Xenopus tropicalis: one gene and its partners. The main gene of each other region encodes a partner of the protein of the gene in region 3 in a complex. Links are inferred from orthologs where the notes say so. Each region holds a gene or a part of one and is shown on either strand. Other genes may lie near its edges.

Region 1 (4,060 bases), on a different chromosome or scaffold from region 3:
TTATTGGGGCAGGTAGACTAGATTTTTTACTTAAAAAATTTTAGTGTTACTTTTCCTTTAATAGTAAGACTGCATTGTCCCCTTAATCACTTAGGAGAAGGAAATCTTCTCGGCCCCCCCTTTGCTTTGCCCCTTTGCTTTGATTTCTGGCTTGTGGGCATGCTCAGTTGTTCTAAGCTCAGATTACTAAACACGCCCCCCAGTCTAGCAGCCAGTAAAGAGATGGCATTGCTGGCTCCCATAGAAACTCAGCTCTAGCTGTCTGCTTCAATTTTTTTCTCCTAAACTCAGCTCAAACAAAGCAGAACTTTTATCAGAGACAGTTCTGCCTGTGTGGGCCTGTATTCTTGATGAAATGTATGCTGAATAAGGGTGTGTGTGTTTATGCTGTTTGCAGATTTAAATGTATCTGATTATGTATCAGAGGAAAATGGCCACCGGGTGAAAGCTGCTATTTGCTTTAGGAAAATGTGATGGTGCTGGCAAACTGAGGGGATAAATGCAGTATAAATGATGCCATTTGGGCGGGGGAGACGTGCCCAACTGATATACATTGTAGGCAAATGTAGGCTTTACATGTCCTTTAAATGCAAAAGTAAACAAAGGGACATATAACAATCACTTAATATATGTGTGATTTTGCAGCCAAAGATAATTCTCCACAATATCATTTACTACTGATAAATCTTTTGCTAAAACAACGGTCTACCTGATAAGATTGCTCACAGGACGCTGACAAAATCTGCCCATGTATGCCCATCTCAACACAAACTATGCAATAAGTATATGTGAAGCCATAAATATCTTATGACTGCTCCCTTAATTGTACACTATAGCCACTCACCAGTGTACCAAGAATTTACATTGTTTCCCCCGTTTTGTATTATTTTTCCTTTATCTGTTATACGATGAAAAGGCAATAAAATGTATGTAAAAAAATAGTAAGCCATCATATAGGTTTTAACAGAAGAAGAGCAGCTTTTTGTGGATCTTATAGTGTCTGTATTACGTTGACCGCTGACTGGGTGTGTAGTAGTTTGTTAGGTGGAGCTTTAATTTAGCCCCCCCGCTAAAACGAAATGTCAACAAACCGAAAATAACAATACGAGTTCGAGACATAGTCGCTGCAGCTTAATGACGTAACGGAGTCGCAGAGTAATTACACGCTGCTTCGCGTCCAACACAAACGCACTGCGCATGCCCAAAAGCCACTCGGCGGATACAGCGTCAGAGGCTTCCCATAATGCTTAGGGAGGAGGACTAAAGATGGCGGCGAATCCGAACTCAAGCAAACCTATATTTGAGTGCCCGAGCTGGTAAGTAAAGGGGAATTAAAAGGCGCAGTAGTGCGTTGCTTTTCGCAAGTTAACATGAAGAAGGTAGAAAACAATGTTGGCAACTAGAAGTCAGGAAAAGCAAGACCGAAAATGCATTTAAAGCTACTGGGTATTCTAGGAAAACATACTAGTGATAGACACGCTGCGGCCCTCCTGCAGCTGCTGCTGATATACAATCCCAAGCATTCCGTGATAGCCAGGAGATGCAGGCAGTTCTTTTTCCTTTAAAGTCGGGGGCCGAAGATTATAGTTGAATGGAACAGTGTTAGTATAATGAGAATTAAAGAGATAAATCATGGCTCCGACAGAGTTTGGATCTTAGCACACTACCATATAGTGAGCATACCCTGGTGTGCATGTACTTACAGGGGATCTCCACCCTAAACAGTTTTTTGCATAAGAAAACAAAATGTTTTTCTAAGCAACATTCATTGATAAATTTGTAATGGTTTTGTAAATGTAACATCTGCAAGGAGTTTGCACGTTCTCCTAGTGTCTGTGAATTTCCACCAAGTACTTGGGTTTTCTCCCACTCTCCAAAAACAAACAAAGTGGTTTCTGATTACATTTACTGTAGTGTGTGTGATTGTGTTAGAGATCTATATTGTAAATTCCACTGGGGCAGGGACTGATGTCAGTGATGTATAATCTCTGTAAAGCACTATGTATATGTGTGTGTGCTATATAAACAGCAGATAATAAATACATTGTTTATTTCTTTCTCTTCTGATTCTGATATTTGAAACAGTGTAGTACAAGTCAGTTTCCTAGGTTTGTTATATCAACTGGCTTCTATTACATCACCTCCGAAGTCAAAACCAGTAGTGCAGAGAATATAAACAGCCAGGCCACTGATACTGATTTCAACAGCAATTTGAATTTCTAAACAGCTCTAAAGCCACTAAACTGTTAAAAGATTGTGCAGAATGACATTTCTTCCTTTATGAAAAAACATTTTTTGGGTGGAGTTTTTCTTTAAAGGACATGTAAACCCCTACACAAAAAAATGTAATCCGTGAACAGCCTTTCTGAAATCTTTCAATACCTGCCACTCTGGTTGTCCAGAGGCTAATAATAAGGCTGCAGTATCCCCTTAACCACTTAGATTTCCTTCTCCTCCTGTAACTCACTAGCCCCCCCCCTCTGGAATTTTCTTTGATTTCTGGCTTGTGGGCATGCTCAGTTGTTCTAAGCTCAGATTACTAAACACGCCCCCCAGTCTAGCAGCCAATGAAGAGATGGCATTGCTGGTTCCCATAGAAACTCAGCTCTAGCTGTCTGCTTCAATTTTTTTTCTCCTTAAATCCTCTCCTGAGCTCAAACATAGCAGAACTTTTATCAAATTAAGAAAATGTAGGCTTTACATGTCCTTTAATCTCTCAGAAACTCTGCATAATATTTAGGGCTCTCGTCAGTTCTTCAGTGTATTTTTTTTTAAGAGTTCAGTTAAAAATTCAAGTTATGAAACCGTAAGTTCTGGAAAGGAAATGGCATGTCTTGGCAAATTATTTTGTTTTCTTAAAAATGTAATTGCTTACATCCACTGTGGGTAAGGAATGCTCAGGAAATATAAAGTAGGATGGACCGTGTAGTCCAGCTATGCTTTAACAACTTTTGATAAATGACCTTTATAAAGATATTTTGTTAAAGGGAATGTAAACCCCCAAAAACTGTTGACAAAAATTGTATTTCTAAGCATCTTTCCAGTGGCTTCACATTTTATTAAATATAAGTGCTATTGAAAACAGTTCATTTCTGTTCTCTGCCCCGGTAGTTCTGACTTGTAGGATATAGCTGAACATACATGTAAACATCTATTTATTTGGCAAAGTTACCAAATGAACATATTTGCCCAACTTGGTCACCTACCGGCTAGGCCAAATGAGACAGAAATCTTTAATTTCTCTGAGCAAATGATTGGACCACATCAGTGCAGTCCTCACCAAATGGTATTTTGAAACCAAACTGATATCTCTTTGGGAGGCAATCAGCCAGGGACCCATACACATGCAGATAAGTTACTGAAGTCGGAAGGGGCTAAATCTACCCATGTATTGCCAGCCTAAGCCCGCTGGATAACAGACCTGTGATGAAGCATATAAAGCCGCTTTCTGTTACATTGTTTAATTATCCTGGGCAGGTTGTGGGGACAAGCCAAAGAACTGAATTAATACCAAGACTGAGGATTTCAGAAATGTTGCACTACTATAACAATGTACCCTCTTTACATTTAGGGCAGGGAAGCCACCCCAGGGTCTGCACCTTGATGTTGTGAAAGGAGACAAGCTCATTGAGGTAGGAACATTAAACCATGTATATGCTTTCGCTGAATGTTTTAAGATGTAAAGGTGCCCATGAAGCTATTCTCATACATTGTTAGGCCAGTTTGGATATTTGTAATCAGATCATCCAATATGAAGCGTGAGATAGGGCTATCGCAAATCTTAGACATGAATGGTTCCTTGGCACTGGTTATAAGCACACCAACCTTCATTTTTAATAATAAGCACAAAACATTAGCCCAGTAACCCTGGCGACTGTCTTCACAGCTAGGAATATTGATTGTTGGTGTTATATACAGTAAGTAGCGTTCCACTTCCAATCTGTTTCTCTCTCTCTCTTATATATATATATAAGAGAGAGAGAGAAACAGATTTGCAGAATTAGTGGAAGTGGAACGCTACTTACTGTATATGACACCAACAATCAATATTCCTAGCTGT
Region 2 (4,095 bases), about 52 Mb from region 3:
CTGTGCCTAGCACCTCTCTGTGTATATACACCAGTCTGCCCCCTACGCTGTGCCCAGCGCCTCTCTGTGTATATACACCAGTCTGCCCTTTCTCTGTGCCCAGCACCTCTCTGTGTATATACACCAGTCTGTCCCCTTCTCTGTGTATATACACCAGTCTGCCCCCTTCTCTGTGCCCAGCGCTTCTCTGTGTATATACACCAGTCTGTCCCCTTCTCTGTGCCCAGCGCTTCTCTGTGTATATACACCAGTCTGCCCATATATATATATATATATATATATATATATATATATATATATATATATATATATATATATATATATATATATATATATATATATATATATATACCAAATCAAACACAACCAGCACCAAGGGTCTTGTGGTTCAAACAAATATTATAGTATTATAATTGCATGTACAACTGACGTTTCGGTCCCTTTTGGGACCTTTAAAAAGGTATATATATATATATATATATATATATATATATACAGTCCAGAGTGGGAGGCACACCATAAAATGAGAGTAAACCTAGGTGCCAGAGCTATAAAATCTGTAGATAGGTAAAGAATGTCGGCACTCTTAGGATTTCCACAATAAGGCAAAAAAGTAAAGTTTTTTTTCAAATGCAAGCGGTGAGATTTATTGTTTCCAACGTTTCAGTCCTTTACTAGGACTTTCGTCAGGGAGTGCAGGAAGGCAAAGACATTGCACTCCCTGACGAAAGTCCTAGTAAAGGACTGAAACGTTGGAAACAATAAATCTCACCGCTTGCATTTGAAAAAAAACTTTACTTTTTTGCCTTATTGTGGAAATCCTAAGAGTGCCGACATTCTTTACCTATATATATATATTTATATTGAGAGAGAGATACAAGTTGCTAGTAAGCTGCACACCATGAGAAGAAATAATACCTGGGGGTGCCAGAGAAGGTGTGTGTGTGTGTGTGTGTGTGTGTATATACATACACACACACACGCAAGGTTAATATGATGCACTGCCCCCAGGCCCCTGCCGCTACACTAAGCTAAACCCCTGCCTGTACAGACATTAATCCTCTAGTAGTTATGGAGCTTGTACATGGATACGGGGTGCAGGAGCAAACCTACCTCCCTATGCCATGCCAGCCTGATGCCAGATACCTCTGTTACCGCAGCTGTTGACTGCTGATTCCTAACTCCGCCCCACACTGCCAAGGCAAGGGCGGAGATCCGGAAGCTTCTCACTGGCATTATTACATCATTAGACCGCGCCGGAAGTTTACATATTCCGTAGTGTCCGGGTTCAGCAGCGGGGAGAAAGATGCCTGGGGGAAGAAACTTTCGGAGGCGTAAAGCCTCGTCGTCAGATGAAGAAGCGGAGGCTGAAGAAGTAACTCAGGAGGTTAGGTAGGTTCTCGTTATATTTCTGCGACTCAACAGTGAGGATACTCGAAGTTGTATTCGTGTGAAACGTTACCTCAGGCCTTTTTTTTATTCCAAGAACGCGTTACTATGGATACCAATTAGCCATAAACACATTGTTGGGAGGGCAGACTTGGGGGTCTGCTTTTTCTATAGGTGTAACTAACTAACCCCCTTCCCCATCACTGTTCTACCTGAGCGTTAGTGGGCAGAGATAGGGGAAGTGAGCAGTGTCGGGCTGGGACCCAGGGGCCCACCAGAAAACATTAGACCCTCGGCTCACTCTCCAAATTATTTTTTTCTCAACCAACCTCTGCTAGTCTCTTTTATTTACATGCCAATATCTATTCTTCCATCTATTTCTCTTCTTTGTTTTCATTCAGCAATAGGGTATGACCGTGAAGTAGGCCAAATGGTAGGAGCAGGAGGGCTCACTGACACCTGTGCCCACCAGGAGTTTCCTGGTAGGCCAGTCCGACACTGGAAGGGAGGGGCAGGGTGTTGGTTTGTGAGGGGAGGGTGGGTAATGCCCTCTGGGGGGCCCTGCGTGGTCTGGTAAGTCAATACAGGGTACAAGAATGTGTTTACTTAACAAGCACATGTGGGCCGAGGAATGCGCGCACACACACACACACACACACACCATATGTAGATTCAGCACTCCTAAGCGTGGTCAAAAGACCCATGTGCTACCAATTAAGCATTAAAAATAAAAAATCTAGTGAATATTGGTGCACACCGGGAATCATTTAAAAAAGTAGCCTTTATTGTAGTAAAAAAAAAAAAAAATAAAAAATATATATATATATATATATATATATTTTATTATATATTATTCTCTTATTAATACCCTGTTTGTATTAATGTATTCTACTGTACAGCACTGCGTACATAAGTAGCGCTTTATAAATAAAGATATATATATATATATATATATATATACATATACATATACATATACATATACATATATATATATATATACATATACATATACATATACATATACATATATATATATATAGAAACAACAACAAGAGATCCTCTGCACTCACCCATTATCAATATATAGGACATTAAGACATTCAGTGCATTTAAGCTACTAAGAAATGCCCTTCCCTTTAAGCAAAACAGGGATTGTTTGTCCATATATTGCAATATACTTCAAGCTGGCCAACTGGGTCAAAGTCATCCCTTTTGACCAGTTCCTACACTGACTTATGCGATTCATTAAGAATTCTACTGCTTCAATATACATTTAGCCAAGGGACTAAGTTTTACCTGCAACTTTCTTGCTTTCAAGGTTAAAATCCCCATATGGTTGCCCTTTTATTGGCTCCACTGGGATCACCTGACTGCAGCTGGGAAGGGTGGGAGCTACAACAAGGAGCTGGCCACTGCTCCTGTATAAGCTATAGTAAAAAAAGGGAAAGTTGTTCTCAACCACTAAATTTTAAACCATTAAAATATATATATACACACACATACAGTCATGGCCCAAATTGTTGGCACCCCAGAAATTTTTCCATAAAATCAAGTATTTCTCACAGAAAAGTATTGCAGTAACACATGTTTTGCTTTACACATGTTTTGCTTTACACATGTTTATTTCCTTTGTGTGTATTGGAACAGAACTAAAAAAAAAGGGAGGAAAAAAGCAAATTGGACATAATGTCACACAAAACTCCAAAAATGGGCTGGACAAAATTATTGGCACCGTTGTGGATAAATAAGTTTGTTCCAAACATGTGATGCTCCTTTAGGCTAATGCCACACGAGGTGTAGGGCGGATATTTTCGGCAAGCTTAAAATCGATTGCTGAAAATTCCGCCCTACGCCTCCTACATGTGCCTGCACCCGAATGAATGAGATACGCTCTGGTGCAGGCACATGTAGCCGATATACGCATGAAAAAGCGAGACTTTGCATTATCTCGCGACATTTAAATGAAATGAAGCGCTATGGCAGGAGACCCAGGAGGACCCCACTGCTGACAGTGCCGCCATCAGAAATTACAGGGCCCCTCACAACAAAATTTTCTGGGCCCCCCTCTTCCCACGCCCCCAATGGCCCCTCACCCAGTGACCCCTCCCATCAGTTTCCAAGCAGCCTATGCAATAAAATGTCTCTTTAACAAATGGCACACACTACACAGAATATAAATGAGTTTTATATTTGTTAAATCACATTTATTACTATTATTATTAATTAATACAGTATTGTTATTAATACAGTACAGAAATGCTTTCTCCCCCCCCCCCTCTGCTGTGTTCGAAACAACCAGCCACACCTAGCGATTAATTACTGACGCCCTGGAGGCTCCGTACGCTGTAAGAGTAACTGAGTGTAGTTAACAGACCGAGAAACTATATGAGGAGCAAGTGGTTGACATACTGGGTGTGGGCTATGATACAACTTTGGTTAACAATTCTTAGATTGCCGAGCGAGAACTTATTGATATGCTAGTTGAGTATAATCACGGCCTTAATTCTGTCCCTTGAAGTGTAAGTAGGTTGTGTTACAATTGCGGGCTAAGTTAAACATACACTCTATATTAGCGGTGCATTGTGATTGCAAAATACGGGACGTAAAGTGAATATATTTCTGCAGAGATCTGTGGTGGGGATGCGGCTTCTGTGATTTGTCGTATAGAGGGCAGATGTACTTACATCGAGTTCGGGGTATACG
Region 3 (4,206 bases):
TGGAGAGCAACATGTTGCTCACGAGCCACTGGTTGGGGACCACTGATGTATAGGGTGAGGGTATACACTGGCTGTACCTTGCGACATGAGACACAAGGAGTCTCTGTAATGTACATCTGCTTGTTAAGCAGATTTATAGTACATGTATTCTACAAAAAAATGAACCATGTACATAAGTATAAAAAATAACCTAATAGCAAAATGTCATGCTATTAATGTCCACTAACTGCTTACATGGGCAGGTCAAAGTCAAAATGTTTTATTTCAAGCACTATGCTTTTTAAGAATCATGCATTAAACGCTACAGACAAAATACTCAGGGACTGAAAACTGTACAGCAGCACAGGTCCAGTCTTCTTGAATGTTTGCAGTTCTCCTTTAGAGGCAGATCCCTCACCTACAAGAGTGTTGCACTGACCTGATCCTATCCAACCTACATGCACCCTCTTAAGGGAAGGGAAAAACCTTTAGAGATGCTTAATTTCACATGGATCTAGTTAGCAAAAAGATATTTGTTTTTGGTCAAACTAGGAAGGGGGAAGCTTAGATGGGAACTGTTCTTGTTGGCAACTATGAAAAATGTGGGTTTATTTGTTACCTGGCACAAATGGGAGCTCTCAGCACTGGGAAAAAAGATGACAGCTAGTGATGAGTGAATTTTTTCTCCAGGCATAGACACTTGGCAAATTTCTGCATTTCGCCATTGGTGAATTGTTTTGCGAGACTTCAAAGAAAATTTGTTGTGCATCAAAATAGGCACACTCGCATCTAAATGTGCAAGGGCGACAAAAAAAATCAAACACGTTTTGCAGATATTTTGCTAATTTTTCGGCAAAGCAAAACGGGACATATTCGCTCATCACTAATAATTGCACTTTTTATTTAAATATTGGGCTTGGAGGCTCTAGTGGTCGTGGTGCTATAGCTGCTAACAGAAAAACTGTTTTGTTGCCTGGCATATGTTTGAGTTGTAGTGAACAATAAAATTGCACTTTTGCACACCTCCTAATGTCTATGCACTGGCCTTATACGATTAACCCTAGAGTTGCTGACTTTCCCTTGAGCCACAAATAAAATGCAATCAACTCAGCCGCCACTTAAAACAAAGAAAGAACGTTTATTACAAGAATGCTTAATTGTTTAGGTTCGGATCCCCTGTAATTATTTTTGTATTATTGCTAGCAGCCACCATGGCAAACCGCATTTATTTTTTGATTTGTCTGTGACCTGCACATAATAGAACTTATTTCTACAATCGTATCCTTCACTACCCAACACCTTTCTCGATTCTACCTCCTCCGCACACTCCACAACCGGCTGAGTTTCGCGTCACCGCGCTTATATAACTAAAGTGTGACGTCACGATCCCGCGAGATGAGACTGTGATGTGACTCTAGTGAGAGCGGGCCTTCTGGAACCGAGGAATTGGACGTCAAAACGGCGTTGTGAATCCTTTAAAGAGATTATTATCAACACTTAATTAAGAGGTAGCGTTTCTGGGTACAGACACATTACCCGATATTGTCAATCTATGAGATCAGTTAAAAGGAGACACGAACGGCCGGAGATGTATGAACATGCCGAGTGACACCATAATAAGTCCCAGTAATAGCTCACAATGTTGCACAGGATAAACAAAGGATAATAGCAAATTGGGAGATCGATAAATAGAGCAATTATACGGGTGGAAACCCCTCTAAACATGAAATTACATTTTTCTCGGCCTGGGCTCAGGAGGGATTGGGGATGGAGCAGAGTCATTGAGGCTATTGCTGTAATAACACATTTTCATCCCACCTCACAGCTGTATTTATTCTAGTGATGTGGCAGGAACACAACACAATAGTCGCGTATTCATAGCGTATCTTATTTAAAGAGGGTACATTTCTCAGAAATATCTGCTTTTTCCTCAACTAATATTGCCACATATGATAGCAGCAACATATGTTAACCCACATTTTGGTACAGCACGTCAGAGCTTTGGTCAGATGGGAATGTATGAAATGAAACCCCTTGAATCTCATTCAGACTCAATACATGTGATATCTAGGTGTCCTTGTGAGCTCCTGGATCCAGTTTTATCCAACTGCACTTCCACAGAAATGTGACATTTGCACAAAGCTAAAATTTCACTCCAAACACAAAAAGTGTAATGAGATAAGGCTGTTGGGAGGAGGACAGCATCAGTGAGCCAATGCATTCCATATCTATAGATTTTTAAAGAGTAAAGGGAAGTTAATCTTTAATTTCCTGCTCTGGTACAGGTAATGTTTCTCTGGCAGCATATTTCAGGAGAAACAGTCTATACTTCTCCATACTGCCTGTTACAACCAAGATTTTATGTCCCAGGATTTCAAATTTTCCCGGAATTTTAATGTGGTCCCTTTCAGGCCACCTGCATTTTTTTTCTTTCTCAGATTTAATGTTTACCTGGAATGTATGCTGTTCTGATATGGCCCCCTGGGAAACGTAAAAATGGGGTTCTACTGCAAGACAGATTTAATAACATACATAGAGAGCATTTTTACTCTTTGGTTGTACTGGCTCTATATTTTTTTAATTTCATCAAACTGATAATTTAAAAAGTAAAGGTCCCCATACACTGGCAGATCCGCTCGCTTGGCAATGTCACAAAGCGAGCGGATCTTCTCCCAATATCCCCCACCTACGGGTGGGCGATATTGGGAGAGTCCAGGGTAATCCGATTGTTTGGCCCTGGGGCCAAACTATCAAATTATAATGACGGGCAAAGGTAAAGTCGGTCCAGGGACGACATCAACGAGCCGATGCGGTCCCCGATCCGACTAGATTTTCTAACCTGTCCGACCGAGATCTGGCCGATTTCAGGCCAGATATCGGTCAGGCAGGCCCGTTGGAAGTGCCGATACACGGGCCGATTAGCTGCCGAATCGGTCTAAGGGACCAATATCAGCAGCTACTATCGCCCAGTGTATGGGGACCTTTAGTCTTCCAACCATCCTTCATCTGTTGCTTCTGTACTTTTTTTGTGTTCTAGATATCACTTCTACTCGCTAAAAATGGCAGAGACAGATGTAGATAATGAACTACTGGACTATGAAGACGATGAGGTGGACAACCAGGCTGGAGTGGATGCTCCTGACATAACTGTCAAAAAGGAAATGAAGGGATCATATGTATCCATTCATAGCTCTGGTTTTAGAGACTTTTTGCTCAAGCCTGAGCTGCTTCGTGCCATTGTAGATTGTGGCTTTGAACATCCATCAGAAGGTAAGAGAAGGGAAATGGGAATCTGTTAAAACTACAAAGGTCTGGTAATGTTGTCGCTGAGTTAAAATGATAGTTGGAGTGTTAATTCTGGTAAAATGAGAAGCTAAGTTTGGCATGAGCATATAGCTCATATTTTTGTATATCATCTTCTAGGTTTAGTAATGTGATTATTGCAGGATAAGTTAAGCACATACTTCCACCCCCCCCCCCCCCCCATATAGTCACACAAAGGCCACCTTCCCAAAGCACTAGGCATGCTCTCAGTGCTTCTATTTAAAATGTGTCCCTGTATGTGACACCACTTCAGAGAATTCATGTCAGAATGCTGTCACTGTCATTTTTTTTGTATATTTTACATATGAAAATTTTATTTACTCCAACAATTCTTGTCAAACCCACTGCTAAAGTAATTAATATACCAAATATGTATAATTACTGTATTTAAGAGTTCCCCAGTAGTATACTTTTTTTAATGAAGCCACTCCTGTTAAATATTTGTTCCAGGAGACTGCCTGGCAGGATGATAGGCACACCCTGTGCCTTTATGCATTTTGTTTCCTAAAGAAAAGTTTTAGACATCAGCTAAATGCTGTTCCTGTATAAATAGTCATCTCGTCCACTAAAAAAGCAAAATTAAAAATAACACAATTGTTGAAACCAGAGCTTTGAGCAGCCAACATTGTTGACAACTGGTGTTGCCCTATAAATGGTTTACATGGAAGCCCAATTTTTTTTTTTTAATCTTTGTTTAAAGTCCCTGTGTGTGCACTCTATTCTTCATTTACATAAACTCCTGGCCAGCACCTGGGGCAGTTGATTGTTTGTAGGGAGTGCTCCTTTTGTTTCTTTTATTTATTTATATATATATATATATATATATATATATATATATATATATATATATATATATATATATATTGAATAATCAGTCTACTACATGGCATATGTTTGCACTTC

What was found.
Region 1: ddx39b (region 3) and ppp1r8 share a complex: the UniProt entries of both Homo sapiens proteins name them as parts of the spliceosome. The link is inferred for Xenopus tropicalis from reciprocal best matches to the Homo sapiens genes DDX39B and PPP1R8.
Region 2: ddx39b (region 3) and c9orf78 share a complex: the UniProt entries of both Homo sapiens proteins name them as parts of the spliceosome. The link is inferred for Xenopus tropicalis from reciprocal best matches to the Homo sapiens genes DDX39B and C9orf78.

Annotation. Positions count from the first base shown.
Region 1 is NC_030678.2:79,518,937-79,522,996, reverse strand, and holds the start of ppp1r8 (nuclear inhibitor of protein phosphatase 1), read left to right. Parts: upstream 1-1,260; 5' UTR 1,261-1,266; coding exon 1,267-1,316; intron 1,317-3,571; coding exon 3,572-3,632; intron 3,633-4,060. UniProt on the Homo sapiens protein: Inhibitor subunit of the major nuclear protein phosphatase-1 (PP-1). It has RNA-binding activity but does not cleave RNA and may target PP-1 to RNA-associated substrates. May also be involved in pre-mRNA splicing.
Region 2 is NC_030684.2:22,434,139-22,438,233, reverse strand, and holds the start of c9orf78 (uncharacterized protein C9orf78 homolog), read left to right. Parts: upstream 1-1,295; 5' UTR 1,296-1,306; coding exon 1,307-1,392; intron 1,393-4,095. Other genes in the region: usp20 (ubiquitin carboxyl-terminal hydrolase 20), read right to left, coding at 1,114-1,236. UniProt on the Homo sapiens protein: Plays a role in pre-mRNA splicing by promoting usage of the upstream 3'-splice site at alternative NAGNAG splice sites; these are sites featuring alternative acceptor motifs separated by only a few nucleotides. May also modulate exon inclusion events.
Region 3 is NC_030684.2:74,210,165-74,214,370, reverse strand, and holds the start of ddx39b (spliceosome RNA helicase DDX39B), read left to right. Parts: upstream 1-1,406; 5' UTR 1,407-1,487; intron 1,488-3,016; 5' UTR 3,017-3,038; coding exon 3,039-3,249; intron 3,250-4,206. UniProt on the Homo sapiens protein: Involved in nuclear export of spliced and unspliced mRNA. Component of the TREX complex which is thought to couple mRNA transcription, processing and nuclear export, and specifically associates with spliced mRNA and not with unspliced pre-mRNA.